Arabidopsis thaliana: one gene and its partners. The protein of the gene in region 2 interacts with the protein of the main gene of each other region in a pairwise test. Each region holds a gene or a part of one and is shown on either strand. Other genes may lie near its edges.

Region 1 (6,674 bases), on a different chromosome or scaffold from region 2:
CCAGAAAATGGACGTGGCAAATTAGGGACGTTAGAAAAAGGAAGCTCGTTGTTGAGGCAGCGTTGGCCGATTTGATTAACTTTAAAGAAACAGACAAACGAAAAAAAGGACTTTGTCACGTTACCGACATAGCTAGAATGCTCGATACTGAATCTTTTCTTCTTATATTTGTTTTTTGTTTGCCACTATGTATATTAGGTGAAACGGAAATGGATCCCACCATTAATTTTTGATATTGAGTCCAAATCTGCTTATCTCCACTAATACCTCATCATCGTTCCTCGATAACTATTACTCCATGAAGGTAGTTTTCAATTAGAGTTTCCGTACTGAATTAAACCTATTCAAGATTAGCTAATACCATGCATAGTTTGACTTTTAGGGCACGATGGGGAAAAAGAGACAGGATGGGCAATATCTAACATTCCAGCGACACTAATAACATGATCTCGACAACTACTGCCCCTACTTCTCTTGAACAATAACACATATCACAAGATAATCTAGCTAGGTTGCTTTTCCATCCTCGTAACATACTAACATGGCTATAAAAACTCATTTTTCAAAAATCGAAATTGATTCTGAAGCCTTTAATAAAAATACACACAACTAAACTGAAACCAAATGTTCTACCATTTCACTTTGGTGGACTAAACTATTCGCATGAGCTACGTTCCTTTTTTAATTTTTGATTTTTTAAAAAATGGTCCACTTTCCAAGTAATCATCGGTTCTCGATATTTTCTTGGACACGAATCTTGAGCCTATAGGTGGATGCTTTTTTCACGCGCCGGTCAAAGAATCTTGAATCTTATAACAATGACAACAAAGTGAATATGGTTCTTAGTTCTTACACGTTCTGTACAACTTCCGATTAGATTCTCCTATATATTTCCCACGATCCCAAGAAGTTGGAGGTCAAGAAAAGTTGTTCCACACATCATGTAAAGGGATTCTACCTTTATTATTTCTTTTCGACCTTTTGAACTCAGTATAATCATATTTTCTTCAAAAAGAAATCTTCAAGGTCTATATACTACTATATAACTATAGAGGCTTTTACACGCTTCTTTTGATTGGAGAATCTTGAAGTAGTTGATTTTGGTAACTTTAAGTAACTAAAGGGAAATAATTATGGGTAACATATATAAGCATGCAAAGCGTAAATGTCAAATCCATTATTTAGTAACTAATTTACGTGCTTAAACCTGTGAGTAGAGTTTAATCTCAAGTGATAAAAAGCGGAACTAAGGAGAATAATATGCTTCGTTATCTATAAAGCTGATGAGAGGATCGTTAATGTACCGTATATAAAACAACTATTCATATGATTCGTTAGTAAAAAAAATTGTATTTTTTTCTTCTAACATTGTATGTTTTTATTGATTATGAGCATATATGTTTAATTTACTACACGAGCAACTAACGAAAAAACAAAGAGTTCATATATATAAAAAGGTGTACAATTTTTCATTAGAAAATAATAGTAAATTAAACGTGAAGATACTCAAGAATAAAGGAACGCAAAAAGAGCAGTGATTTTGTGTAGCCATGATATACTTGGACCGCGAAAGATCTTCCATCCTCTTCCTCAAACTGCTTTAGTTGCATTAGGCCACTGGTATCTTATCATTGTTTTTCTTCTTACCAAATTTGTATGGTGGAGACTAATTAAGTCTATTCTGATCTAATATTTTTCACATTCGATTTATATATACTCTAATGGGCACTGATTTATCCTTGATTCAAAAGTACGCTCTAAACACAACATCACAAAGGCTAAATCTGTATATCGCCCGATATAATGTTAACTATCAATAGGTCTAACTAATAATGATGAAGCCAACTTATACATTACATCTTGATAATTAGAAGACGAGTTCATGCATGTGTTGGCCATTCACATTTTTATTCTAGCTACTGTCAGTGTATGTGAATATTTCTAAATAAGAAAATGGTTTGTGTGTAGCCTCCTTCTGATACCATGTTAAAAACAGACAAGTATAAACGGTTTCTTGCCTTATTATATGGAAAGCCCTAAATTACTCAACATACACAAGAGATCGTTACTAATTGTGTGGGAAAAAATGTAAAAGTTTCAATACTATTTTCATTAGCATAAACAGAGAGTCATACATCAACATACACCAGTTGATTAACTAAACTGAAACACGAGAGAAGCTAAACAATAGAACATACAAACGATAAACATTAATTCAGACGAAGTCCTCACTGAATATCTAGCTAGCTCACACTCTAGCTGTAACTGTGTTTATTCTCACTAGCTAATAATTAGATATTATATATTGAGTTGGTTTAATTTTGCTAGTAAAGGATGGACTGATAGGGTTTGATCAATGGGACAAGAGAGCCACTAAGGTGAAGGGACATGACTTCATTGGTGGAGCCAACAAGCTTGCCTCCGACAAAGACAGCTGGAACCGCCGTGGAACAGCCGAGCCGGAGAAGAGCCTTCTCGATCTCACGGCAGTCCGGGTCGTTGTCGATCTCGTGGATGGTTGGTTGAACCCTAAGGTCACGGAACAGGATTTGAACGGCGTAGCAGAGACAACATGAGCTCTTCGTGAAGATCACCACTCCTTTCTCTGAAGACATTCTCATCACTTTGTCCATGATCCTCAGAAGTCTGAAGATCTGATGATGGCTAGGGGTTTAAACTTTAGCGTTTTGATGTATGTTTTGTTTTGTTTTGAGTATGTAAAAAGCTTGACATTTGCTCGCCTATTTATAGGAAGGGAGTGAGTCTTTCGAGTGTGTTTTTTTCTTGCTAATTAGAAAGAAAAGACCATTTAAAATGTAGTTTATTTCTAAGAAAATATCAAAAAGGAAAGATAAAATATCAGATGCCTATTTGAGAATTTTTCTTCTTATTTATATTCTGTTTGACTGCACAAGTTGCAAACATTACTCTCACTTCTAAGTTATTCAATTTATTTTTATTTCTACGGTAACGCTGCAGTTGTTTTGATCGTCATAACATGTTGATTAGTAATTTACGAATACGATTCGAAAAATTGTAATCAGTTTCACCTTTTTGTGGGTTAATAATAGTATACGCATTGCCAGTGACATAAATATAATTAATCTAAATAATAAGCACATGCATGCATGGACTAATTGATGAAATAAGTATGAACGGAATGCATATGATAGTAATTTTGAAACACTAACATAGATATGAAAGTTGAAGCTAGCTTATCAAATTGATTACAACAATGATAGAAATCAGACGATTTCTTAATAACTTTTGGCTAAGCGATTTTCTTAAACTGCTGATATTCAAATCAATGTGACAAGAAATATAGCATGATTAATACCCCTAGAAAAAGAAAAGAGGCTTGTCAATTTATAATCTAACGGATTCTCTCAACATATCTCCTTTGATTGAGTCATTGCGCAAAGTGAGGATAAATGAAAAAGATTGGACCTTTCGGTGATAAACATGTATATATATGTATCAACAATATGCATCGTACATGGTGATTCCGCCAACACCAACTTGCCAAAGAAAATTATTCCATCTTTCTTTTTTATATATTCTTCTTTCACACTTACACTAATGTTTGATTCACTTCTCTCGAAATGTCTTTCTTGCCGGACGCACGCGTGAATCACACGCATATGTTAACTCTGCTGCGTCATTCTTGGCTTACTTTTCGATTGTTTTGTGGGTGTAGTAATCTTTTCATGAGCGAGATTCTCTTTTATGTTTGATTCAAAAACGATCATATATATACTAGTTATAGCATAGTTACGTTCGATATTCATTTGTATATCGGTTAGGTATTATACTACGTACATTTTTTTCTATAATCGGAAGATATTATGCTAAATCCAGATGATATTCCGATATTAACAGAAATCTTTACGTGATGATTGATTACAGTCTAGTTTCTCCGTATCAACTGATAATTAATCTCCACGAGCATCGGAGCATGCATAATCTTCTATATATATGGTTACTAAAAGTATAATTCAATATTCATGCAAGCTTAGATAAATATATGTATGTATTATTCACGAGATGACATAATATGAACTAGTGTGTGTAGAATAAATGATAGTAAGAAGCGTGATGATATGTAGTCACAACCATATGGCGTTAGAGGCCTTTAACATCTGCTTGAGGGAGCCATCCACGTGGAAGGAGATGACGTCTTTAGCTGAGCCGACGTACCTTCCTCCTACGAAAACCGCAGGGACAGCAGGGTTAGACCCGAATACCCGGAAGAGGGCCCGTTCCATGTCAGGGCCTTGCGGGTCCTTGTCAAGCTCATGGATGGCAGGACTCGCCCCGAGTTCGTAGAAGAGAGTCTTGATGCTATGACACATGCAACACGAGCTCTTCGTGAATATCACAGCCGCCTTCTCCGATGCCAAATCTCTTACTCGTTCCATCGACGATGTGACAAAGAAGTGTTAATTCGAGGCCTTGAGTATGGATGATAAACAAGCCGATCGATCAAACTATTATTTATAGCCCCGCCGCATTCGGCATATATTTTCGGAAAATGAACGCGATCAATTATATAGTTTGGTATGTTATCAAAAAAGGTAAGTTGTGTCGCTTTCGGTCTGCGACAGGCAGCAGCATCACATACCCTTGACATTTGTTTATACATCACAATATATAGTAGTTTTTCTTTGGAATAAATTTATGGACAAAAAGCTGAAATTTATTGTTTTTTTTTTTGTAAGTTAGTTATTCAAACGTATAATTTAAAATGATAATAATATACAAAGGTCAAAAGCAAAAATCTGGTGTTGACTGGTGTGGTGTTTAAAAATGTCATCTAATAAAAAAAAAACATAGGCTTTTTGTTTTTGTTACAGATTAATAAAGTAGTAATTATATAGTTATTTTCATTACATCTAGGTACGTTTTGGCCAACCTGTTAGAGAGGGAGCCAAAATACTTTTCTAGTGTGGTCACAGCAATTGAGTTGTGGAATCACCAACCCAAATTCCAAACCAAGACTTGATTTCATCCTCTCTTTTTTCAAGATATTTGTCATTAATGTATATATTCCCTTACAAAATATCTCACAGGTAAGGTAGATATATTACCTTGTCGAGGGGATCCAACGACGTGGCAAACGCAAGGACCAGTCATGTTAATTAGATTCTTTTAGTTCAAATCTCGACGTCCATAGTTCTTCTATGTAGGTCGTAGATTATATTCTGTTTTTTTTTTTCCTGTCATCACAAGGCGTTGACACTTGACATAGTGCAAATTCTCTGTACCTATAAAGCAAAGATTAGGCCCGTGAGTAAAAAAAATCTCACAGTTTTTTTCACGTCTAATATACTCCGGAAGATTTGTAGTGGGCCGTTGAGCGCAATGAGATATAATATATAGGCCTACTAGAAAAGGCCTAGAAAAGTGACAAAGGGATCAAGACTTAATTCTTGCCCCATTGAGCTGGAAACAAAACTAGAACAAAATGTTTTCCGTTAAGGGTCTTCTTGATCCATATCAATATATCATCATCAACGAACAGTATATACAAGACAAGCTTTACACACTTGGGAATGTATTATGCAACTCTAGAATCTGTAAATTACAAATTTACACACTCAAATTCACTCTCGTCTTTTCTTTGTTAAAGAAATATTACAAAAGAGTAGAAGAAGAAGAAGCAAGCAAGTCAAGAAACAGAGTGACATCTTCTCTTCTGAAACATGAATCGTCTTTCCGAATTCGTTTTCTCCTCCGTATGCTTTTTACCGCTACTGGCAACACTTTGGCTGCTCCTAAATCTCAAAACGATTGCGTTCAACTTGTTCAGACCTCTCGAGAGCTTCCTCAACATTCCATAACGCCTCCTCCTGCTCTGCGGCTTCACGAAGTCTCTCTTCATCGATACATGATCTTTCTCCAGGTCCGTTAGCCTCATCCTCATCCTGGCCACCTCTAGTCTCAGCTCTCTGTTCTCTCTTCTCACTGATGCATAGTTGTCCCTCGGCGAGATGGCTCCGCTTGCCATCCCGCTTCCCGAGCGGTTTGGGAACAAGAAGAACTGGCTTTGGTTCGAACCGCCTGTGCCACCGCCGCTGGTCATGGCGTTCTTGAGCCGTGTCTGTTCGTAGAACAGGACTTGAACCGCAATCTGAACCGGAAGTCTCTCGTTTTGCGCCGCGTGGCTGCTTGCGTCCTGCGACAGTTTCTTACAGCTGACTGTCTTGCAGAGACGGTAACGTTCCGAATCTTTCATGTGGGGGTGAACCTAATACAAAACCGTAACACAGCAATCAAAATCATACAACACTCATTCTCAAAAGCAGACTCTTTTATACCTTGAGGAAGATATCAACGGCTCGGTAGAGGCCATCGCAGACGACGCGAGCATGGTCAGGGAGAAGCTCTGCGAGTGCTATAAACTTGGAGGGAGGAAGGCTCGAGTCCAGAGCCACCTCAGCGAGATAACTATCCATCAGCTTCGACACCTTGAAGATGGAGCTCTGTTTCGGTGACTCAGCCCCCTCGAAATCGTACATGGCCATCTCGCTCTCGTCCACCGCGTCCTCCTCGTCGTCATCATCATCTCTGTACTCGCACTCGTCAAGGTTCAAGAACATTGAGAAAATCCTCTGCACCGAGTCGGTGTCGTACATGGCGCCGATGTTCGCCGGAATAAGGATGTCTTCAAGGAT
Region 2 (9,987 bases):
TTTATCCTGTAAAGCTCCTCATAGTGAGCTATTACTCCATCTACAATTATCCGAAGCTCAGAATCAGTCGCGTGAGAATCTATAGCAGAACTCAGCTCCTTCATCTGTCTGTTTTTATCTTCCTGCCATCGTCTGTATTCTACATCAAATGCCATTGCCCCTGTAAAAGAGAAGCATTCATAAAAAATTATCTCACAAGAAAGTGATCAACACCATCAACCAAACTAGTGCTTGCTCTACTTTATAACCAACAAAACTAAAATTTTCAACCACATCATCAATAAATGGTTATGAATTATGATTCAGCTAACTCACCATCTCCAGCGGTAGAATGGGCTTGGTCTCCAGAGCTTGAGATAAAGACACCCTAAGATTAAGAGAAAAATGTTATGTATGCAACAGAGCAAATATCTACACAAATATAGCTGAACAAAGTTAAAACCTGTTGCCGTGCTCTTTGTAGCTCCTGCTCAAGTTGTGTTAGCTTCAATCGACTGTTCTCTAGCTGCTGAACATATGCCTAAAAGTGCAGTAACCAACAAACATCTTAGAGTTTGCAAATAGCTATGCTTGTAAAAAACATAAAAGAATTGAAACTATGAACATAAATCTAAGCATACTTTCTTCCTCAATCTGCTTTTCCTTGCAGCCTCACGGTTTTGAGCGAGCCTACGAAGCGTCTGTTGATTACAACAACAAACAAGAAAAACATAACTGAAAGGCTCAATGACAAAAACCAAACTCTTGCAAAATAGAGATGTTTATATTCACCTTTTGATCCATTTTACTCTTTGAACGGTCACTAGAATCAGAAGCACCGATACCCAAATGCCCTTCATCGAACTGCATAAATACTGTTTTATTTCAAAACTTTGGCCATTTAATGAACATAAAGAAGCAAGACCTAGAAATTTTACAAGCTAACCATTAGGTTATTATGATCAGTGTCTCCATCTGTTGAGACTGATGTTCTTGGACTAGTATCTCCCATTTTTCTTTTTCTTCAAAATCTCTGTTACTAAATCATCAGATAAAAACCGATCCAATCGTGGTACCCTAGATGGAGTAAAGACTGTCAAAAGTAAGATGGTAAACATAAACAAAAGATTAGAGTTATAGAGAAAGAAAACATATTTTTAAGCCAAAAACCAACGCATTAAGTAGAATCAAGAAAGTGGAAACAATGATACGATACATCACCCTATTTATGTCACACTAACATAAAGATCCAAACCACTAAACTTAACACATAGCTGTGAAGCAACCAATGACCTCAAGAACTTTGAGTATTCAAAGCCAGAGAATCAAAGTAAACAATAAGCACGCCTATATGATTTGAAATGAGAACCAACGGACTTCTATAGCGTAAAGCTCTCCGTGAGGTGAAACAGTAACTAATCTGAACATTAGACTGAAGTAGAGCTAAAAGATTCAGAATTTAGCAAACTAGCCCCGGAAACAGAGTAAAAGACACAAAATTCAAGCTTCATAACATCAAATCTCAACCAATTCGTTTAAATAGTGTCCGAAATAATGATTTTGGATCCTTAACACGTACATAAAGCAAAAAGGAAAAAATTCCCTCAAAGGTCAAAATCTTCAATGGAAAAAAACAATCATGAAAGCAGAGGCAGAATAAGAAAACTGAAGAACTAAAACCCCTAAGACTATTGAAGAAGAGACTCACCTGAAAAGAACGGATTCTTTGAGCTTAACCCCAAACAAAAGTTGCTCGGAGAAAAAGCGATTTAGAGAAAGATCCGGAAAATTCCAATCTACAACTGCAAAGACGTGGTCTTTGTCTAAAACCCACAACAGATATAGTATCAATCACCAACAAAGGTTACTACTTTTGTATCTTCCTTCTTTGAGGTATTTTTAGTTGTACGATCTTCTTTTTTTTTATTTTGCCGGTCTCTGAAAAAAAACAGGAATGGAAGACGAAACTCAAGTGATGGTGGACCTCTAGATGCTGAGGGTTAAAAAGTCCTCTGAAAATTGCAACACTCTCTTTTTTCTAAAAACAAAATAATTCTTGGTTTTGACAATGACATGTCCCTTTTTTTATTACAAAAAAATCTATCACACTTACTTTGAATGTAAATTCATTTTCATCATCTCTTGGAAGTTTACATTAGAATCCTCACTAAATAAGATTTAAGACACAAGCGATGAAACTACAAAACTCAAATAGAACATCTTAATATTGTTAAATGATTACAGTACAGAAGTTGCAAGGTTAAAACACCTTTACCACACACAAAAGTAACAAAAAAAAACAAAATTCAATAACCTTTCTAAGATAATCGAAGATGCTATATAAACAACATTGAACTTTTCAAATGCTAAATTAAAAACTGATGACTACAACTAAAACAACATGAATTACCACAACCATGTAGAAGAAACCTACATACAAAGAGTCTTTTGTTTCCCAGAAATTTGCTTATTTGTTGATGGATTTGGTAAGAAGAATCTGACAAGTGTTGATTAATAGTCTCTCCTGGTTTTGTGTCCATATGGATTTTGTACAGCTGACATGTGACCAAAATACAGTTTCACTCTCTGGGTCGAGCAAGCCATAAGGAGCTTAGAGCTCGTAGCCGTGAGAAGTAATCGTGTATTGCAAGTAGAGCACGTGCTGACTGTCTCGTTGTTAATACTCTTATCATCTGTTGCAATGTTTGTAGTCTCAAATTATCAGCCTGCCACCACCAACCAAGAGACGATTATTAACCTATTGATATATATATATACTCTTAACTAAGATATCATCTCAAAACATCACAAGTGTTGTACCTGGCGGATAAATCCTTCGAGTGTACCTAACTTTCCCATTGCCATGGCCATCTGACCCATGTAGCTTGCGACATTCCCTGATGAACTTGAACCAAGAGTCCCGCTCGATAAAGTATCAGCTAGTGACTGTTGTAAGCTCTCCATCCCTTGAGACAAAGCATCTTCAGCCTGCTGCGATGTCTGTTGCAGGTTATTTATGCCCATCAACTGTCTCTCTGTCATTGGCTCCAACTGATTCGCCAGAAGCTGTTTCAACACATTTTTCCCTATGACCATTCTTTTTATGTTCTATGTAGAAACAGATGCAATCGGTGAAGACAAAGTGAAATTTGACCTCACCTTTAGAAGTTCGGATGAACGAAATCCACCGAGCCACAAGAAACATCTCTCAGCTGGTGTTTTCCACATGCCAGATAGCAAGTGAAAGACATCATTCTTAGCTGCATTGCTCTTTATCCTGAAAAGCTCCTCATAGTGAGCCATCACACCATCGACTATTATTCGAAGCTCAGAATCACCTGCATGCGCATTCAGAGCAGACCTCAGCTCGTTCATTTGCTTGTTCTTTTCTTCCAACCACCGTGAATGTTCAGCATCAAACGCCAAAGCACCTGAATTAAAAAATTTATACATGATCAAAACAAACCCATGAGATTCGTCATCTTGTAAATCTAAATCTACACCAGTGCTAATTAGAATAACAGTTTTTGCTATCAGAACCATGTCAGTCTGCCACTGACTCTGATAACCCAGTGTATTGTAATGGGATGAGATATGATGTACTAATTGATCAGTCTACACCAAGTCAACAGGAAGTTGATATATGAACTTAACTTATACACAAATTAGAAGCCAAAAAATAAACATAATTAAAACTAATGGAGAATAAGCAACCAACCATTTCCACCAGTAGAATGGGCCTGGTCTCCTGTGCCTGAAATGAAGACGCCCTAGAAACAAGAAATTTACCGTTAGGTATACAGAATAACAAAATAAAAATCAATAGAAATAAGAAACAAATTTGAACCTGCTGTCTTGCTCTTTGCAGCTCCTGCTCAAGCTGGGTTAGTTTCAAGCGGCTGTTCTCTAGCTGCTGAACATAAGCCTATGGAGGGAGCAATTAAAAGGAATTAACGTAGTACCAAATAGCTATGCTTCTAGCGATGCACCAATTTAAAAAGAAAAGAAAAAGTAAAAAAAGATAAAACCAATGGAAGGTAATATACCTTCTTCCTCAATCTGCTTTTCCTTGCTGCCTCACGGTTTTGAGCAAGCCTACGAAGAGTCTATGGATCAAAATATAAGGAAACAAAAAGAGATTATAAATTGGCTGAATAAAAACAGTGATCTTATCTACAGAGATGGACATGTCACCTTTTGATCCATCTTTCCCTTCGATCGGTCACTCGAATCAGAAGCAGCAGTATTCACTAGTGCTCCCTCCGACTGCATTAAAATTAACACCAGAATTTTTGTTTGGTCCATAAAAAATCACACTATTTTGAAGAATATAAGTGATAAAATCTAGCCAGATTATGAGCTAACCCCAAGATCAGGATGATCTGTGTCGTCATCTGTTGAGACATCAGTTCTCGGACTGGTATCAGCCATATTACTTTCTCACCACTTTTCTGTACTAACACTTGATAACAAAGACAATATCCACTTGTGGCCTCTCTTTTAGTAACAACTTCTTGAAATTTCTCTTGTGTGCACAGACTGCCAGGATTCGGAAGGAAATTAAGAAAAAGAAAAAAAGACAGAAAGAACAAAATTAGGTGATAGAATATAAAAGAAAGATCAACACCTACCAATACGAATCAATAGGAAATGAATCAGGAACAAATGTTGGTCACCCGGAGCATTGGCTGCGCTGAATGAGCACAAAAAAAAACAGCATTACATACCATCTCTTTTGCTAACATAGTTTTCAATTATGTCCTATAAAGTCAAGAAAAAGGTTCTCTAGTTTGTTTCAGTTAAACAAGCCAGCTAAAGAATGCTAAAGAGTCCTTTACTTATTCAAAGTGTCCTAAGGGAAATTCTGCTGACTACCATAAGTCACAAAGTCAAATATATAAGAACAATCTGTTTGTAGCTAACAGACTGACAAAAATAGCCCATCAAAAACACAACCTTTAAAGCAATTCATCAAACCCAATCAGACATGTAGCTTGCACAATCTACAAAGTCTGAGAAACTCATTCAGACCTTAAGCTTAGCTCGCGGATCAAAGTCAAAATCAGTGAGACTTAAGGTGTTGGCACAGTCGAAAATGCCTGAGTTTGAAAAATTAGGTACAGTCACACTCACACACATCATTTCAATTCAGTTTGAATGACACTAAAGTAGCTTCAGTAGCTGAATCTCTTAGTTTTGCAACTCTAGCTAGAACAAAAACTATTCAGTATTCACATCCGAGTTGACTCAATTCCTTACTCAGTATTCATATCCGAGTAAAGTAAAAAAAAAAAGCTAAACTCTAAATCTAGAACCAGTGAGAATTCGGCATGAAGCTGCAGCTATGATTTCAAACCAAGAAACTACCACCGAAACAGAATTCAAGAGATTAACATTTAATTCGATGATTTTGGTAGCTCAAAATTAAGAACAAAATCACCAATTAAAAAAAAAAAAAAGCTGAACTCTTTAAGCTTGAGAAAGTCAACTAGGTTTAACTTCAAAAGCAAAAAGACAGAGTTAACAAGTAGCTTCTTAGGACTGTGAAGGAGAAAACTCCCAGAAAAAAAACAAAGGAAGAAAAACCCTAGAAAAAAAGGTTGGCTTGATGAAGAAACTGACCTGGAAAAACGAAATCTTGAAGGTGCACAAGTAAAGGGCTTGATTCGAAATCGGATTGAAACAAAGAAACAGAGAGAGACACGATCCGAAATTCCAATCTCCGAGACGTCGTTTTGTCTACAAATCTACCAGTTCCCCATAGACCCTCGACCAAAATTTAACGGGAAATTTCAAACTAAACCCTATACTCTTTATTTTTACCATTAACCAACCCTACTATCTTATAATTGCAAAACCCACCCCGTATTTTCAACACCTGAAATTCAATTCACTCTCACTCTCACTCTCACTCTCACTCTCACTCTCTCACTACTTCACTCATTCAGCAGATCCTCTTCATTCTCTATTCTTAACTCATTAATGGCTACCAGATTCAAGCACCAGTTTTCAATCTCACTAGCCTTGACATTCTTCTTCTTCTTCACCAAGACCTTCTCTTTCACAGAGAACGAGGAACTTGGTAACCTTCTCAGATTCAAAGCCTCCTTTGATGATCCAAAAGGCTCTCTTTCAGGTTGGTTTAACACTTCTTCTTCGCACCATTGTAACTGGACTGGTATCACATGTACTAGAGCTCCTACTCTTTACGTCTCTTCCATTAACCTTCAAAGTTTGAATCTTTCTGGTGAAATCTCTGACTCCATTTGTGACCTCCCTTACCTCACTCACCTTGACCTCTCCTTGAACTTCTTCAATCAGCCTATCCCACTTCAGTTGTCTCGTTGTGTTACTTTAGAGACTCTTAATCTCAGCTCTAATCTCATCTGGGGCACAATCCCTGATCAGATTTCTGAGTTTAGTTCCTTGAAAGTTATTGACTTTAGCAGTAACCATGTCGAAGGTATGATTCCAGAAGATTTAGGGTTATTGTTTAATCTCCAAGTTCTCAACTTGGGAAGTAATTTGCTCACTGGTATCGTCCCTCCTGCTATTGGGAAGCTAAGTGAGCTTGTTGTTCTTGATTTGTCTGAAAACAGCTATTTGGTTAGTGAGATTCCTTCTTTTCTTGGGAAGCTAGACAAGCTTGAACAGCTTCTGTTGCATAGGTCAGGGTTCCATGGAGAGATTCCTACTTCGTTTGTTGGTTTGACAAGTTTGAGAACCTTGGATCTGAGTTTGAACAACCTGAGTGGTGAGATTCCTCGATCATTAGGCCCTTCTCTCAAGAACTTAGTGTCTCTTGATGTCTCACAGAATAAGTTATCTGGCTCTTTCCCTAGTGGCATTTGCAGTGGTAAAAGGCTTATTAACCTTTCTCTCCACTCGAATTTCTTTGAAGGGTCATTGCCTAACTCCATTGGTGAATGCCTTAGTCTGGAGAGGCTTCAAGTGCAGAACAATGGATTTTCTGGTGAGTTTCCAGTTGTGTTGTGGAAATTACCCAGGATTAAGATTATTAGAGCGGATAATAATCGGTTCACAGGTCAAGTGCCAGAGTCTGTGTCTTTGGCTTCTGCATTGGAGCAAGTTGAGATAGTCAACAATTCCTTTTCTGGTGAAATCCCACATGGTCTTGGATTGGTTAAGAGCTTGTATAAGTTTTCTGCTTCACAAAACCGGTTTAGTGGAGAGTTACCGCCGAATTTTTGCGACTCACCTGTCCTTAGTATTGTAAACATCTCTCACAATAGGCTCTTAGGAAAGATCCCAGAACTGAAAAACTGCAAGAAGCTTGTCTCTTTGTCTCTAGCAGGCAATGCATTCACCGGAGAAATCCCGCCATCACTTGCTGATTTACATGTTCTGACCTATCTTGATCTATCTGATAATAGTCTTACTGGTTTGATCCCTCAAGGCTTACAGAACCTAAAGCTTGCTCTTTTTAACGTGTCATTCAATGGATTATCAGGTGAGGTACCTCACTCTCTGGTCTCCGGGTTACCAGCTTCCTTTCTGCAAGGAAATCCTGAGCTTTGTGGACCCGGTTTACCCAATTCTTGCTCCTCTGATCGGTCTAACTTCCATAAAAAAGGTGGTAAAGCGTTGGTGTTATCTTTGATATGTTTAGCACTTGCTATTGCCACTTTCCTTGCGGTGTTATATCGTTATTCTCGAAAGAAAGTGCAATTCAAGAGTACTTGGCGCTCGGAGTTTTATTATCCCTTCAAGTTAACTGAGCATGAGTTGATGAAAGTGGTGAATGAAAGTTGTCCTTCCGGAAGTGAAGTATACGTTCTCAGTTTATCTAGTGGGGAGTTATTAGCTGTGAAGAAGCTTGTGAATTCTAAGAATATATCCTCGAAATCTCTGAAAGCTCAAGTGAGAACCATAGCAAAGATACGGCATAAGAACATTACTCGAATTCTTGGGTTTTGCTTCAAAGACGAGATGATCTTCTTGATCTATGAATTCACACAAAATGGTAGCTTACATGATATGCTATCGAGAGCTGGCGACCAACTGCCGTGGAGTATTAGGTTGAAGATAGCACTAGGTGTTGCTCAAGCATTGGCTTACATTAGCAAAGACTATGTGCCACACTTACTCCATAGGAACCTAAAATCAGCAAACATTTTCTTGGACAAAGATTTCGAACCCAAGCTCTCTGATTTTGCTCTTGACCATATCGTTGGAGAAACTGCTTTTCAGTCTCTGGTACATGCAAACACCAACTCCTGCTATACTGCACCAGGTAAATATCTAGGACGACTGAGTTTTTCTGTACATGCAAACCTTTAGTGAAATTTTTTTCCTTGATGTGATTCAGAAAACCATTACAGCAAGAAAGCAACAGAAGATATGGATGTTTACAGTTTTGGTGTTGTATTACTAGAACTTGTAACGGGACAAAGCGCAGAGAAAGCAGAAGAAGGCTCTTCTGGGGAGTCCCTTGACATAGTGAAGCAGGTCAGGAGGAAGATAAACCTGACAGATGGAGCTGCACAAGTTCTTGACCAAAAGATCTTGTCCGATTCTTGCCAATCAGACATGCGAAAGACCTTAGACATTGCTCTAGATTGCACCGCCGTTGCTGCAGAGAAACGACCTTCACTGGTTAAAGTTATTAAACTGCTTGAGGGTATTAGTTCTTCTGTCTCACCAGTTTCCGCATAAACAATAAACCAAGAGAGACCGTTTCTTAGCACTGGTTTGAACTCAAAAATCAAGCTTTTATGGAAATGGTCCAAGAGCAAGATGGTATGTTTTGTTTGTGTAACATTAGAGTATGTAGTAATGTACATTGGTCATTTGATCTTCAAGGATAATAAGAATTGGACTTTTAATGTACTTCCCGATAAGTTTGGAATTTCCGCAGGCACTTTCTGGTAATTTAAGCCAGGTTTAGGCTTCTCCAAGGAGTCTGTATCTTTCATTAGTCTCAGAAAGATTGAGGTTATCCTTCGCTACAGCCCCTTTGATGACGTTGTAGTATGGAGGAGATCTTGGTGTTTCTACCTTCTCGTTGCTGCTGTATCCATTTTTGTGTGTCATAGAAAGCTTAAGTTTGACACTGAACTCTGCAACAATGTCTGTCAAGTGGCTACAAGAAGGAGGAGAATATGAAACCGGATTGACTTGCCGAGGAAAGCCTCTAGCTGTATCTCTAGATAAGCTTCTATTCTCAAGTATGCTCTGGAAACACAAAAACAACATAGGTTTAGGCTTTTAGCAAGACAACTTTTCTTTGTACCCAGTCAATAAAGCACAGAACATAAGTAGATCAACCTGAGCGTTGAGTTCCTCAAGCACAGTTCCTGGAACAGGATACGGGCAGAATTCATCGGGGGTGAAATTGCATACTATCCTTTTTATCAAACTCAGGCCAATTGATGGGCAGACCTGTGGAAACCCAAAAAAGTAAACAAGAAGCTAGATGAAGAAACCAAGCAATATAAGAGATCACAGCTTTGTAGGGTTGATAAGCAGTTCTAAATCATGAAGCATACATACCTCATCTCTGGTGGAACTGTCCACAAACATTTCTTTTGGAAGCATAAGGAGATCACTCAGTTCATTGAGCAAGTGGAAAGGTTTAAATGTCTCATCTCCTCTCTGCATTTTTTGCTCAACATCAATCCCAAAGATGTCTGTAAGCAATCTCGACCAGTAACTAACCTGTATGAACGTTTATATTAGCTTTATGACTTGTGACTCATATCTAGCTAGAAAAAAGGACATCAAATGGTTAACGTGAATACCGTGTTTTTCAGTTTTACTCCAGATTCAAAGCTCAAAACCCCTGCTGGAATTGGCAGAACTCTTGAGTCAGCAATGGGATCAGAGGCAGAGTCAGTCGGTATGTGATGAGCCGACTCACGGAGAATAGCATTGAACATAGCCACATCAAGTCTTACAATGCATTGCTCCATAACCTAATTAGACAGAACATGTCATTTTCAGTCCAGAAGAGAAACCAACATTCCACCAGAAGAAGGAAAGGAAAAA
Region 3 (8,237 bases), on a different chromosome or scaffold from region 2:
CATGTATTTGCAAAATCGATCCCCAAAGTTTGATATTACTCACACTTTGTAACCAAGAAACAACAATACTAATGAGACACACGAGATTATTATGCACTGGGTTCTCTGGGTCCCACTGCTTCTGCTTTTGTCGGCTTGCGTTTTGTGGGTGGAGAATATATGTCATGAGAAACGTATCATCTAACCGTTAGATCAACGACGTCTACATATCTTTCAATACACCGCGTAACACTGAAACAAAACCTCTCTTCCCCACTTTCTTCTTCTTCTTCTTTCTCCATAGTCATTTCTAAGTCCAACCATCTGATTCTTCGACATGACCTTTTGTTCTTCTTCTCTTTTCTCTCTCTCTTAAACCCAATTTGAGATTGTTCGATTTCGATCTACGAGATTCTTACAAGAACATAAGCAGCTTCGGTTTTTTGGGATTATCTTATTTGGTCGGATGATGATCTTCTCGATGTCTGTGCTAGGTAAATTCTTTATTTTATTTTGTTTTTGAAGTTGTATTAAATTCTTTAATTTAGTATTAAATGTTGAATCTTTATGCGAATCTTGTTACTGGGTCGTCTCTTAACTCCGTAGTAAATGGAACAAATTTGCCGACTTTTTATGTAATTTGGTTATAAGATTTTAGCAAATGCTTTAATTTTGGGGTTTTGTTTGTTTCAAAGTAAAGTACTTGAGTCTAAAGATCGTTGGTGAAGCATAGGACTAATCAATTTTGAGTCTTTACTAAGATTGTAATTGATATAGAAATTTCCCAAAAGTGGAGACTTTTAGTGGTTATTCTGCAACATTTTATTCCTAATTGTTGTTTCTGTGGAATTTAGTGTGAATTCACTGTAATGATTTGGTTTTTGTTTGTTTTGATTTCTCCTTCAGGCTTTGGGAATTAGATATATTTGGGGTTAAGCTCGAGTCTCTCCGGTTTTGAGTTTACTTGAGTTTGTTAGTATTTATGGCTGAGGTGGGAAAAGTTCTGGCTAGTGATATGGAGTTAGACCATTCAAATGAGACTAAAGCAGTGGATGATGTTGTTGCCACTACTGATAAAGCGGAGGTCATACCAGTGGCTGTAACTAGAACTGAAACCGTTGTTGAAAGTTTGGAATCTACTGACTGTAAGGAGCTTGAAAAACTTGTTCCACATACGGTAGCTTCGCAGTCGGAAGTAGATGTTGCTTCCCCGGTATCCGAGAAAGCACCGAAGGTTTCTGAAAGTAGCGGTGCATTATCTTTGCAGTCTGGTTCGGAAGGGAATAGTCCTTTTATTCGTGAGAAGGTTATGGAAGACGGATACAACTGGCGGAAATATGGACAGAAACTTGTGAAAGGAAATGAGTTTGTAAGGAGCTATTACAGGTGCACTCACCCTAACTGCAAAGCGAAAAAACAGTTGGAACGGTCTGCGGGTGGACAAGTCGTGGATACCGTTTACTTTGGGGAACATGATCACCCAAAGCCTCTTGCTGGTGCTGTTCCTATCAATCAGGATAAGCGAAGTGATGTCTTCACAGCTGTTAGTAAAGGTGAACAAAGAATAGATATAGTTTCTCTAATTTATAAGCTGTGCATTGTTTCTTATGATATCATGTTTGTAGAGAAAACATCTGGATCCAGTGTTCAGACACTTCGTCAAACCGAACCACCAAAGATCCATGGAGGATTACATGTTTCAGTTATTCCACCAGCTGATGATGTGAAAACTGATATTTCACAATCAAGTAGGATAACGGGGGACAACACTCACAAGGATTATAATAGTCCTACCGCAAAGCGAAGGTATTGATGATTGATATGTCGGTTTGTTTTTCATGGTTCTGGAGGAAGACTTCACCATTGGTGTTCCTTGTTTTTTCTTCTTATGTTGATGTCACTAAATCAGGAAGAAAGGAGGGAACATTGAGCTGAGTCCAGTGGAGAGGTCAACCAATGATTCACGCATTGTGGTTCACACTCAGACTCTGTTTGATATTGTGAATGATGGGTACCGATGGCGTAAATATGGTCAGAAATCAGTAAAAGGCAGCCCATATCCAAGGTAGTGACTGCTTACATGTTTGAAATATAATGTCAAACTTTTGGTTTCATTCTTCGCTGCTCACGTTCTTTCTCCATTTGATGTTTTATGTATTAGGAGCTACTATAGATGTTCAAGCCCTGGATGCCCCGTCAAGAAACACGTAGAGAGGTCATCTCATGACACAAAGTTGCTTATAACAACTTACGAGGGAAAACACGACCACGATATGCCTCCAGGAAGAGTTGTTACTCATAATAACATGCTGGACTCGGAAGTTGATGATAAAGAAGGAGATGCCAACAAGACTCCACAGAGCTCAACTCTTCAATCCATTACAAAAGACCAGCATGTCGAAGATCACTTAAGAAAGAAAACGAAGACTAATGGCTTTGAGAAAAGTCTTGATCAAGGTCCAGTTTTGGATGAGAAGCTGAAGGAGGAAATAAAAGAGAGATCAGATGCAAACAAAGATCACGCAGCCAATCACGCCAAGCCGGAAGCAAAGTCAGATGATAAAACCACTGTTTGTCAAGAGAAGGCAGTAGGAACCCTGGAGAGCGAGGAACAAAAACCCAAGACAGAGCCTGCCCAAAGCTAAGCATTCAGTGTTGTACCGAGTGGTAATTTATATGGCTGTTTTAACATAGATTAGTACAGGCGATATGGTTATAGACTGTACAGTTGTTGTTCAGGCGGGACCAGATTTAGATTAGTGTTTAATGGAATAGTATGCTTTAATACCTTTATGTAACCACTTCCATTTGGTTCAAATAAGAGTTACAGGAAGAGAAGGTAACACAACAAGAGCCCTTCTTTGTTGATGGAGCCTGTGTAATAGTTGTAGCATGGGGATGTATATGATTTGATTCAACCTTATTAATGGTTATGAGACAAAACTATCTATTACTTCCAGTTCTGTCTTTTGCATTACATTCTTGGAGACGTTTATTCTTTCACTTCCATGCACAAGATGAGACCAAGATTCGGTCCATCCAACCAAGGTACAGAGCACCATCTCTTTCTTCAATCGCATACCCGTTGCTGTAATCTCTCAAGAGGGCTCTAATGGTGGCTGAAATGATTGAGCTCAAGGGGTATGGCTCAAAACCCGCCATGGAAAACCTTGACTTCCATTTCCCGAGAAGCTCGTGTCTTTCGATCCTCTCGGCTCCTTCACAAGCTATGATGTTGACGACATCCCTTGCCATGCAGTGCTGCTCGATATTGATCCTTTCCTTGTGATTTCTCGGAAGCATAACATCGATAGATTCGAACATTGCCGTGTAATAACTTAATGTCTCAAGGAACCTAGGAAGGAAAGGGGAAGTGTTCGTGTTGCATTCTTGTTCCACAAGAGTGACTACTTTAGGTGATAGACTCTTCACCATCCTCAGCAACCGGTCCCTGTGGTTTTCCATGCTTACACTCTCATCTGGCAAATGATGCAGCATGTAAGCAAAGTTCACTCCAAGGGCTTCGCCATCTCGGACATCAAGATTTTCCACTTCAACTTCACAACTTGGCCTTGAAACCGCATTGAACCTGAATGGAACATCAAACTTCTTTGCAAGTTTCTCTAGTCTCTTCTTGACTGTAACCAAGACAGATCCATCACCAACTCCGGTAATTCGAATATTTGGAGCCCCACCAGGCCTAGCTGCAAAAGCCTGGATAAGTGCTATCCACTGGCTCCCTTGTCCAATTTGGAAGTCAATAATGTGAATCCTCTCTTCATCCTTCATTGCTTCTGCAATCGCACCATTCGCTGACATGTATCCAAACTTGAAATATGGACAAACCTCATGCAGAACATACACATAAGATAAAAATTCATAACTCTCTGGTTCTCTGGACTGGAGAGACTTATATATCGAACTACCAGAAGCAGCAAGCCTAGCAACAAGCCCTTCTAACATATAAGCTCCCAATCTCTGGATTGGCTCACCAGAAATCGAAACCATACCGCGCAACTCACCCATACACCATCGTGCCATTAGAAGATTATTCTCAGAAACAGCTTTTGCACAAGCAACAAGTACCAACTTCAAGTCTCCCCTTGATATTGCCTCCACTATCAATAACAAATCTTTAGCATCATCAGGCCACATGGAGAGTTCATGGCAGATAGCATCATCGATACTCTCAGCTATCTCTGGCAGTGGCTGCAACATTATTGAACCTCTTACATTGTCCATCACAAATAAGCAAGTAAGAATCTTTGAACATCAACCATTATCCTCAAATGACCTTTTATTTATCTGATCTTCATAACAAACACCTGTAGAATTCATAGACAAAGTCATTAATCAGAGACTGAATTAGATATCAATATTGAACAATAATATCCATGGAGATCAAAACTCTAACAAGAACTCTAGTATCATTGAAATCAACTCATGACTCTATGAATCTACGTCAGCCATGAACTACTTCATCAATAAACAAGGCATACAAGAGTTCCAATCCTAAACAAACTAATTTGACAATTTCTCTTCACACTTTAGAGTAAAGCTTGCTAGAAAGAGCAATCATTTACAACAAACCAACATCAAACTTATCAAAGAAGAAATGTTTTCATGTTTTGTGGATAAGAAGAAGCAGAGCATCAAAATCATCAAGAAAAGAGAATAAAGGTTTGATTTTTATGAGAAAAACAAACCTTGTGTAGGTTAAGAAGTGATCTTTCGGTGGAAGTCGATAAGGGATTTGGTTTTGCAAGTGAGAGATCCAACCAAAGCTCGCAGCTGAAGCAAAAGGAAGAATCTTTTTAGTTGCTGTAGTGAAGAAAATAACACATCACATACGACGTCGTTTTAGGCTTAAACCGAATAAGACCCGATCACCGACTTGACACATCTCGCTTAAAGTCTCTGGTCAAATGGGAAATAGTGTAAGAAGCAATCTAAGAGACATCAGAGGACGACGATCGATGGATCCTCGGATGTGGCACAAAGTCGCCGCTATTTCCGGTGAGATTTAAGATAAAGTAATGATCTTTTGATTTTGATCTTGTGAGGAAAGGTACTGATTCGGATAGAATTGGTTTAGGTATGGCTGCTCTTGGTTTGGGAACTTATGGTGCTCATGTCTTTAAACCAGAGAACCCTTCTTACAAACAGGTTTAGATTCTTGAAAATTGTTGGAAAATTCGATACTTTGTTGGATTTCTGTGAGAAAGTTTAGGTTTTTTTGTTGTTGTTCAGGTGTGGCAAACGGCTTCACTTTACCATTTGGTTCACACTGCTGCTCTTGTTTCTGCTCCTAGCACCAAATATCCCAACATTGTTAGCTTTCTCTTCTTGTACTCTGTTTCTCTAATCTTTGTCCTTTGAGAGTTGATGGAGCTGACATATCTTTTTCTTGCTTAGTTTGGTGGCTTGTTGACTGCTGGAATTGTAGCCTTTTCCGGCACGTAAGTTGTTATCTTTTTGTTTCTCAGATTCTTCAGTTTGAGATGTGTATGGTAGAGCTTTTGTGCTAGATGTTTGTTGGATGTCTTGTCATTGAGGTTATAGTAGTGCATTCATGGATATTTGAGCTATTTAGATATGATTTGGACTTTCTAGAATTCATATCTAATCTCTAGCAGTAGCAATACTTGCCACAATTCTTCGTGGCTAGGGAGATTTTATCGATTTCGACATGTGTCCAACTCTGAAGCATTTGGAAACCATTGTATCACTTATTTAATAGCATAGGTCTTTGTATTTGAGTTAATGAATGGTATTTGTCCCCTTTGTACTTCCTTTGATATGTGAAGGTATGCTCTTTGGAGAAGTAACTATATTTTAGATGCTTAGTAGATAACTTTAGTTTTGTGTTCAATAGTCTATTTCCGGGTATGAGTATGTGAGAAGTTTCATGTGTGTTGAAATGTTGTTGCAGGTGTTATATGGTAGCGCTGCGGGAGGACAGAAAGTTTTCGACATTGGCACCATTCGGAGGCTTTGCGTTCATTGCTGCATGGGCAACTTTACTTTTCTAAACAATCTCATAACCATCTATATTGTCAAGTTTGTGGTCAAGCTTATCCTACATATGAACTCACTGTTTTTTTTTGTTTACCTAAGAGATTGCTTAATAACAATTCTGTGTCGACAACCATTAAGCATCTTCCTTTACTTGTTCAGTTTGTTGCTAAAGGGATTATGTAAATGACGACCATATTAATGTAATCTTATTACCATACAATTTATCAAAATTCTACATTACAAGAACTTCCAAGTTCCAACAAAGATTTGTTTATATTGTTCACCGGTAGTATAATTCATCATCTTTCATTTCATCTTGGTCTTTCCTTTGAATCATTGGACATACTCAAAATGGCACATACTCAAAATGGCACGAATCGTGACCTATCAAATCATGAGATAATCAGAAACAGATGGTTCAAGATTTTGATTGATCAAAGAGCTTAAATAACTGTAACAAAAAGGGTTTAGATAAAGTTGCTTACTAGGGTCGGTTTGTGTGATAAATGCAGTGCTGTTGAAGTTACAGGAACCGCCGTTGCGCTTATAACGCTGGTAATAGTTATTGAAGACAACAGAGGCATGGTCCTTGACAGTGTTGGGCAAGAAGCAAGGCTGGTTAGGCTGAATCGTACTGCAGTCTGCTCCACCTGTTTGACAAGCCCAGTCTACGGCTGCTTGTATCACATTATCTGGTATCTGTCCATCGGCTACACACCATTGTCCGAACTCCGCTTTCGCTACAAAAATAAGATACCCCATGTTATAGAGATCTTTGAGATTATGTGTATGTTACAATAATATTGTACCTGAAAACGTTACTGTTATGAAAAGTAGAGCAATTGCTATCCCTAAACAAAAAGTTTTCATCTTTTACAAGAGGCAAGTTGAACTGTTTGAGAGCTTAAAGATGGTTATAACTCGAGTATTTTATAGTGTTAGTATTCTGTGTTTAGAATGGATTATACTCTGACCAACAAAATAAAGAATGAATTATGTAAGATCTTATATTTAGGTGTAAGTCATATCAACTGCCAAATTTTGTTGACTATGAATTTGATTCAAATATATATGAGTTATGTTATATGGAATGTGGTCAAGCTTATCATATATAGCTTATTTTGTTTCAGAATGGATAATGTCAATTACCAAATTGATGTAATTTTAATACCATATATCTTATTGAAGTTCTACATTTGAATATAATATCTGTTTCATTAGCTGGAGAAGAAGAGAAAAGTGAAACATCTAATCTTTATTGCATGTGCACCAAAAATAACAAATGAGTAAAACAAGATATGTAGGTGAAATTTATTGCACCACCAACTTTGAAACACAACAATATTGGAAGCAGAACTTTAAGCCTCCTAAAACCAAAGGATTTAGCCAGAATTGCATACTAGGGTCGCAATCCATGATCATTTTTGAGTGGCACTCGGGAGAGAACCATATAAATTAAAATGGTTTGGTTCCCGCCTAAGAGGATGAATGTGCAGACCAAATAAAATGTTTTGGTTCCCAGCTTGTGAGAATGTATGTGCTTAGCTCGGAACCTCTTAGTCATAAATAGATAAATGTTTTTAAAAAATCGGTGATGCGCCATTAAAGTAACTAGAACCTCCATTGTGCTTATAACGCTGGTAATAATTATTGAAGACAACGAAGGCATGGTCCTTGATAGTGTTGGCCTGCTGGCCTTGAAACAAGCTAAGGTTGGTTAGGCTTTAATCTTATTGCAGTCTGCTCCACTGGCTTGACAAGCCTAGTATATGGTTGTTTGTAACACATCACCAGGTGCCTTTTTATAGGCTATCACCATTGTTGGTTCTCCACTTCTATTATGAAAAGAAGATTCATAGACATTTGTGAAACTGCGTCTATGCAATAATACTTTTATCTGCGTATCCTTGTCAAGAAAATTTTCATCTTCTCAACAATGATGCGAAGTTGAGTATTTTATAGTTCTCGAAATTCTTTAAAATTTTAGCTTCAAAGTTAATCAAACATTTGATGCACTACTAGTTGTAAAAATGTTAGTTTTTCTTTAAATATAATTTAATATTAAATTAAAAAAAAAACGAATTAATACACAATTTTGTAATTGATGTACATTTATTATTTAATGCAACAATTTTTATGTGAATATGTTAAAAACTAATTATTAAATTTGCCTCATTTAATTTGGGATGTAAAAATCCTATGGGATCATTAAATACCGTAAATTTAAGTCATTATATAGT
Region 4 (6,904 bases), 2.4 Mb from region 2:
TAAAAAGGCTAATTTGAATATCAATGGCTCAATCATTGCACTGTTGATTCTCCATAGTCTTTGTAAGTGTTCACGAGAAATGGATGCTTTTTATATATTGGAAGAGCTAAGGAACATAGATTGCAAACCGGATTTTATGGCTTATAGGGTCATAGCTGAAGCGTTTGTAGTTACTGGGAATCTGTATGAGAGACAGGTTGTTTTAAAGAAGAAGAGAAAGCTCGGAGTAGCACCTAGGAGCAGCGATTACCGAGCTTTTATTCTGGATTTGATTTCAGCTAAGCGATTAACGGAGGCTAAGGAAGTGGCTGAGGTGATTGTGAGTGGAAAATTCCCTATGGATAATGATATCTTAGACGCGTTGATTGGATCTGTCTCTGCAGTTGATCCAGATTCTGCTGTTGAATTCTTAGTTTACATGGTCAGCACAGGGAAATTGCCTGCTATTCGGACTCTGAGCAAGTTAAGTAAGAATCTTTGCAGGCATGACAAGAGTGATCATCTGATAAAGGCTTATGAGCTTTTGTCAAGCAAAGGTTATTTCTCAGAACTTCAGAGTTACAGTCTGATGATATCGTTCTTGTGCAAGGCTGGGAGAGTCAGAGAAAGTTACACTGCTCTGCAAGAAATGAAGAAGGAAGGGCTTGCTCCAGACGTTTCACTCTATAACGCTCTCATTGAAGCTTGTTGCAAAGCGGAAATGATCCGTCCAGCAAAGAAACTGTGGGATGAGATGTTTGTGGAGGGCTGCAAAATGAATCTGACGACATATAATGTACTTATTAGGAAATTATCAGAGGAAGGCGAGGCAGAGGAGTCTTTAAGGCTGTTTGACAAGATGCTTGAGAGAGGGATAGAACCAGATGAAACAATCTATATGTCACTCATTGAAGGCCTATGCAAGGAGACAAAAATTGAAGCTGCTATGGAAGTTTTCAGAAAGTGCATGGAGAGGGATCATAAAACAGTTACAAGAAGAGTATTAAGCGAGTTTGTCTTAAATCTATGCAGCAACGGTGAGAGAGAACAAATATGTCTTCTAGTCTTTTCCAATTGCCTCATGTCAAGATATTTATTGATTCGTTTGGTGTGTATGTGTGAAGGCCATTCTGGTGAGGCATCGCAGCTGCTGCGCGAGAGAGAACACTTAGAACACACAGGAGCACATGTCGTGTTGCTGAAATGTGTGGCGGATGCGAAAGAGGTTGAGATTGGAATTAGACATATGCAATGGATCAAAGAGGTATCGCCATCTCTTGTTCACACAATATCTTCTGACCTGTTGGCGTCTTTCTGTTCATCATCTGATCCTGATTCCATTCTTCCATTTATTCGAGCAATTGAGAACACATAATTACACCAATAGGCAATTAGATTAGATTCCCCAAATTGTATTTCCCTTTATTCTGTGTAGATTCCTATACTGCTGTAATCAAGATCTCTGGGTGACTTACACGTTACGAGTCGTTTATTGTCTACGTAAGAATTATTCTAATGAGTATAACTTATCTCAAGGTATATATGCTATTTAGTTCCTTCTTTTACTCATCATGGTAATTGATGAGCCCTTTAAAGTTGTAATGGAAGTGAAATGTTTAAAAACCTTCCAAACTCAGATAATGTGACCTTGTAATTGTAGTTTTCTTACAACTTTGAGAAGAAGAAAAAACAAAGAAAAGGTGACATGTGATTGTATGAAATATGAATGACTGAAGAAGTGTTCTCTAATTTGTTTTTTAAAAGCAAAAATGAATTAGGAAGGAATTGATAGCTGTAAAATCAGTGACGTTATTGGATGATCATGTACGGGCTCTTCTTGACGCAACGGTCGGGTCAAAATCACGGATTATTGTTAGTGGGTCTCCACGTAATCTGGAGTGGGGACCCCTCATGAGGTGATTATTTCCCCCACAAGTTAACAGTTATAACGGTTAAGATTTTAGGTCATGAAAATAACCTCCTCGTTCTTGTCTTAGTTTGACCTTTAATTTTATTTTATTTTCATGGCAAATTTTTATTTGTGAAAAATGACCATTAAATTTTGCAAATCAACTGTCAAATTGTAAAATTAGAGATAAGAAAGCTAACAAGAGACATAGCGATTAGTTAACATTTATATATTAGTGTGATTTAAGATAGACAAAGAGCTAAGCTTAAAACAAACGCATCACTCTTCTCTCTCACTGTCTCTAATTCAACACTGGGATTAACCTATTTCTTCTGTCCTTAAAAACCAAAGATAAACCAAAGGTTGATATTTGGAGGATGAGATTAGCACTCATCAGAGCCAAAGAGCGCCAGCATCTTTGAGAAGAGGGACGAGTGAGCCATTGATATGTGAAGCCATCACTCTCTCCATTGCTCCTACCATCTTCCCTCCGATGAACACCACCGGAAGTGCCCCCGGAGATGTGGCGCCACCGCTGGAACAGCCAAGGAGACGGAGGAGAGCTCGGTGGATTTCAACTCCGTAAGGGAGGAGGTCGAGCTCGTGGACGGCGGGGCTGACGCCCATTCCACGGAAGAGACGCTTGATGGCATGGCACATGCAGCAAGTGCTCACGCTGAATATAACCACCGCATTCTCTGCCGCCATCGACTCTATCTTCGCCAGTGTCTCCGACGGAAACACATTCATGTTGTTCATCACCTTACTGTTGTTGTTGTAGGACAACGACCCTCGAGTTTCTGTTTTGTATTGCATCTTTTTTTGTATTCTTAGAGAAAAAGAGAAAGAGAATAAGAGAGTGAGAGAGCGAGAGAATTTGTGTGAGAGTTGGTTGGGGAGAGAGTGAGAGGCATGCAGAGTATTTATACATGGTGAAGTTCTAAATTTAACTGGTAGGTTTTAATTTATTTTAAAATGGCATATTATTAGAGAGGATATGCCAAATGATAACAAAGTTATTGATGTGATAGTCATGGACCATCATGGTTGCTAGCTTTTGTTATGATAGGATGATATTTTTAAGAGACATTTGAGTCCCATTTAAGTATAATTATTTATTTTTTCAAGATTTTACAACCATATAAAAGTAGAATATTATTCAGTTAAATAGGTTAGTAGAATAAGGGAATTGTTGGTAATGGATATATCTATCCTTCTTGTCGGCTTTTTCTGTAATATCTTCTTACACATTTACACTAGCTAGCTAGTTTTTGTCTGCGAAATTGGTCCAATATTATCAAATACAAATGGTCCAATATATGCATATATATAAATACAAATGGTCCAATATTCATGTGTATATATATATATTGTATATAGAGACGCGCCGAATAATAAATTTGATGCTGCCAACATTATGTGAGCAAGTCGTAACGCAGAGATGAGGTCGAATGTTTGGATATATGGCCGGTGGTTTTCCATTATATTCCGTATTCACTTTATGCTCTCAAATCCTCTCTAATCAATCTCTATAAACAAGCTACATATAATACCATTATCAATATGATCGCAAAAGGAGTGGAATATATATTTTGGATTGTGTAATCCAATTAGCATCTCACAAATGTAGCGCTAAACATATATACAAGTTGGAATATCTTTTGGTGATCAAGATCGAATTTCGTAACCATTTTATTATTCTTAGCCCCTAATGGGATATAGAAAATTGGCTAGTTAATGTTATATAAAAAGAAATAAAGGAGTCATCAATATTCTTGAGAATGAACTTTTAAAAGAGATTGTAGTTGCCAACAGTGTTTAGTTGCTTACCATCAGAATGTCAGTGTTCTTGATGTATGGAAATTACAAGTTGGCATGTGTTCTTGGTTTGCTACCATCTTTTTCTTTATATATGATTATTAAATGTTGTGAATTCAGTTAGACAAAAATGTATAGTTCCATATATATATAGTTTGGATTTGTAGATAATTTTACCAAAAGGCTGAGAAAAAAGGTTGAATTTTACAAAGTTGGTCACATGCTTTTTTGGCTTTCATGCATGCTTCTGCCTTCCTTTTGTTATCTGCAAAATTTGCCTTCTTGTTTCTCATGTTTGACCAACCCCTTCCATAAAAAGGAAAAATGCTAAAATAAAAACATTTATCGTTGTCAGCACAAACAACTTGTTATGAAATTTGTAGGTACCCAATCTGCAATATAGAGTCACCTCTCATCGATTGATTATATATGAATAATATCCCTAAATTATTCATATTCTATACATCGATCTATTTGAGAACATTTCTGTTACTTTTTAAGAAAATAAAAGAAAGCTTAAGATATGGGTATATATAGTTTAAGTGAGTCCGAAGAGTTAAATGTCCCTTCATTGGTTTAAGATTTGGTGTATAAACTAATTAAAGCTGATTTATATGATTTGGAGGACTAAATCTTTGTTCTTAAGATGATGATAAAATAACAATCTTTGAGGGATTGCGTTTGTCGGACCACTTTATCATATATTATATGGAAAAAATTGGAAGGCCGTTACAGAAGCCTTACGTAACAGATTTCATCAGATGTGTATTTCTCGTTGACCGGCTGGTCGGTCGGATATGACCCTGGTCAAGTAACTGTTGCTTATGCTTTTCAGGAAGGGTATTTTCGGTATCATTTAAAGTGTTTCTTTACTTTCTAAGGGCATCTTCAAGGCTCAACACCATTTTGGTGTTCAAATTACATCATTTTTAGCACTAAAACTTGTGTTTTTTCCGACCATAACACCAAAAATCATACTAAAAAAAATATATACTATTATATTATCTATTTAAAAGATTTCTTTTATTATTTAATAGTTTTGATTAGTATTTATTACTAGTATAGAATTACATAACATTATAAACATAGTATATTGAAATATATATTTAAAAATACATAAAATTGTAACTATTTTGAGTATTTTCATACATAATAATATAAAAATATCATAACTAAATAAACTATTTCAAGAGATATAATATATTAATGTATCCATTCATTTTTATATTTTATATCTATTAATCATTTGTAATTTTATATTTGTTAATTGAATTTTTATTGATATAATAAGTGAATAGTGTTTAGAGTTGTGAATAGTATCACACCAAATTTGATGTAACACTGTAGCATTACACTAAAATGGTGTGAATTTTAGAGTTCCATTGGAGAGCTTTTAGTGCAAAAATTACACTAAAATGGTGTTTTAGAGTCCCATTGGAGTTGGCCTAAGCCTGCTCCTTCAATGCTCACTTTCTCTTCTATACTGAATTTGTTTTTCTTTTTCTTTTTTCTTCTTTTGTTGACAAGAAGAAATTATGAAAATATACTGATGTCAAAATGAAGAAACTAATTTATATCTTAATTCTTGTGAACAAAATAGTATAATTACCATTGACTAATAATTGTAAACCTTATGTCATAAAACCAAATCTTAAATCCTAAAAACTAAGCTTTAAATCTGAATCCCTACTCAACACACTGGTTATTTCTTTATTTCTTTTTGAGCTTGTCTATGTACTCTTTAAATTAAAAGATTATAGGCTTTGGCTCAAATTATGATGTATTGTATCACAACAACAACAACAACAACAACAACAATGGACAAGAATTTGAAATAGTTCCAAGTCTTGACACATTCTTAGCATTAAACTACGCACAGAAGCAGAGTTGAAGGAGAGAGATGGGTGCTCTGTGTTGCACTAAGGATCGGTCTCAAAGAAGGCGGAGTGGAGAGCCCTCACACATTGCTCTGCCTCTTCATCATTCACTATCAATGAGATGTTTACCTGAAACACACACACACACACACACATATCCCCATTCACTATAACCATAAGTAAACCATATTCATTCACTATCATGTAGCAGCGGATTCCATCTAACCTTAGATGCACCCTGCGAGATCATCTGCACATTCACTCCATTGCTTCTAAATACTTGGAACACCTGTTTTGTCATTCATTCCATTCCCACTAAATTAAAACTTCAAAATTCAAAAGAGAACACAAGACATGTTACTCTCACTCACCTTCTCTAATATGAGTGAGGATTTCTGAACATTTCCTATGAGAGAGATGATTGATCTGCGTTGAAGTAGTTTCACAACAGCAATCTTCTCTAGCTCTTCCACCAAATTATCCAGTTCCTGTTCACACCCAGTCCCTTTAACCAATACCACATATGACCCTCACAAAAGAAACAATCTATCAAAGTCAAAGGAGTATTACATTTACTCGCTGAATTAACTCTCTACCCCAGAGCTTTGCTGGATCCAATGTCAATGATATACTAACTTCACTTGTTGCCACAACATCAACCGATATACCTAAATCTTCAAATGTGGTAAACACCTGCACACGAGACAGTGAGTATGCTTCCAGTGAGATATTAAACAAAGTCGAATAAAGATATCATTATCCAATTATATTACCTTGGCAAGGAAACCATATTGGCCAAGCATACGGGTGCTTGCTATGTCCAACATGGTCACATTACGTTTCAGAACAATGCTGGTTAGCACAGCCTACAAGGAATTAAAGGAGGAAAAGGTCATTGATATTTTGATATAAGGAGTTAAAAAAACACATCTGTTTCACGAACCTTACTCATGTCTCTTGATCTGGTGATGACAGTTCCTGGAGCAGTGGGGTTGTACGAGTTCTTAACCCTCACAGGAATGTCGCCATCTCTTGCTGGCCTCATAGACAGTGGATGCAACACCTGCAATGGAAGAGGAATATGCTCAGCCATCTGACAGAAAAGAACTCATCAGCATAGTGCATAGCTAATCTACGAGATTACCTGGGCACCAAAGTAAGCAAGCTCAGCTGCCTCATCGAACGTTAAGTACGGAACAGATTGAGCTCCAGGATATATGTTAGGATCACAAGTCAAAACTCCATCCACATCTTTCCAAACCTATATTAAAAAATCATTGTTTAACAAAATTTCATCTACATGATGCAATCTTGGCCAAAG

What was found.
Region 1: the proteins of AHBP-1B (region 2) and AT2G47880 interact in a two-hybrid assay, tested with the Arabidopsis thaliana proteins (2 studies listed by BioGRID).
Region 3: the proteins of AHBP-1B (region 2) and SCL21 interact in binary tests that used the Arabidopsis thaliana proteins (3 or more experiments, as listed by UniProt).
Region 4: the proteins of AHBP-1B (region 2) and ROXY2 interact in a two-hybrid assay, tested with the Arabidopsis thaliana proteins (3 studies listed by BioGRID).

The regions. Positions count from the first base shown.
Region 1 is NC_003071.7:19,601,083-19,607,756, reverse strand, and holds AT2G47880 (Glutaredoxin family protein), read right to left. Parts: upstream 2,728-6,674; 5' UTR 2,634-2,727; coding exon 2,325-2,633; 3' UTR 2,053-2,324; downstream 1-2,052. Other genes in the region: AT2G47885 (uncharacterized protein), read left to right, coding at 2,389-2,526; AT2G47870 (Thioredoxin superfamily protein), read right to left, coding at 4,107-4,418; SETH6 (Phototropic-responsive NPH3 family protein), read right to left, coding at 5,669-6,247, 6,318-6,674. UniProt on the Arabidopsis thaliana protein: Has a glutathione-disulfide oxidoreductase activity in the presence of NADPH and glutathione reductase. Reduces low molecular weight disulfides and proteins.
Region 2 is NC_003076.8:2,146,746-2,156,732, reverse strand, and holds AHBP-1B (bZIP transcription factor family protein), read right to left. Parts: upstream 5,894-9,987; 5' UTR 5,602-5,893; exon of another isoform or gene 5,598-5,601; intron 5,425-5,597; exon of another isoform or gene 4,936-5,424; intron 4,673-4,935; 5' UTR 4,611-4,672; exon of another isoform or gene 4,607-4,610; intron 4,519-4,606; 5' UTR 4,411-4,518; coding exon 4,345-4,410; intron 4,246-4,344; coding exon 4,174-4,245; intron 4,086-4,173; coding exon 4,026-4,085; intron 3,905-4,025; coding exon 3,827-3,904; intron 3,750-3,826; coding exon 3,698-3,749; intron 3,411-3,697; coding exon 3,139-3,410; intron 3,046-3,138; coding exon 2,800-3,045; intron 2,706-2,799; coding exon 2,559-2,705; 3' UTR 2,147-2,558; downstream 1-2,146. Other genes in the region: OBF5 (OCS-element binding factor 5), read right to left, coding at 1-160, 316-367, 443-520, 621-680, 772-843, 926-991; AT5G06940 (Leucine-rich repeat receptor-like protein kinase family protein), read left to right, coding at 5,962-8,233, 8,309-8,655; AT5G06930 (nucleolar-like protein), read right to left, coding at 8,884-9,174, 9,268-9,381, 9,493-9,657, 9,741-9,914.
Region 3 is NC_003071.7:1,717,596-1,725,832, forward strand, and holds SCL21 (SCARECROW-like 21), read right to left. Parts: upstream 5,010-8,237; 5' UTR 4,996-5,009; coding exon of another isoform or gene 4,905-4,995; 5' UTR 4,686-4,904; intron 4,305-4,685; 5' UTR 4,222-4,304; coding exon 2,980-4,221; 3' UTR 2,766-2,979; downstream 1-2,765. Other genes in the region: ZAP1 (zinc-dependent activator protein-1), read left to right, coding at 962-1,785, 1,889-2,044, 2,141-2,624; AT2G04900 (uncharacterized protein), read left to right, coding at 4,905-4,995, 5,075-5,145, 5,230-5,310, 5,395-5,438, 5,912-6,011; AT2G04910 (Carbohydrate-binding X8 domain superfamily protein), read right to left, coding at 6,385-6,759. UniProt on the Arabidopsis thaliana protein: Probable transcription factor involved in plant development.
Region 4 is NC_003076.8:4,537,715-4,544,618, reverse strand, and holds ROXY2 (Thioredoxin superfamily protein), read right to left. Parts: upstream 2,840-6,904; 5' UTR 2,705-2,839; coding exon 2,282-2,704; 3' UTR 2,034-2,281; downstream 1-2,033. Other genes in the region: AT5G14080 (Tetratricopeptide repeat (TPR)-like superfamily protein), read left to right, coding at 1-1,016, 1,104-1,354; CARAB-AK-LYS (Aspartate kinase family protein), read right to left, coding at 5,626-5,712, 5,810-5,872, 5,955-6,071, 6,154-6,276, 6,357-6,449, 6,527-6,646, 6,728-6,844.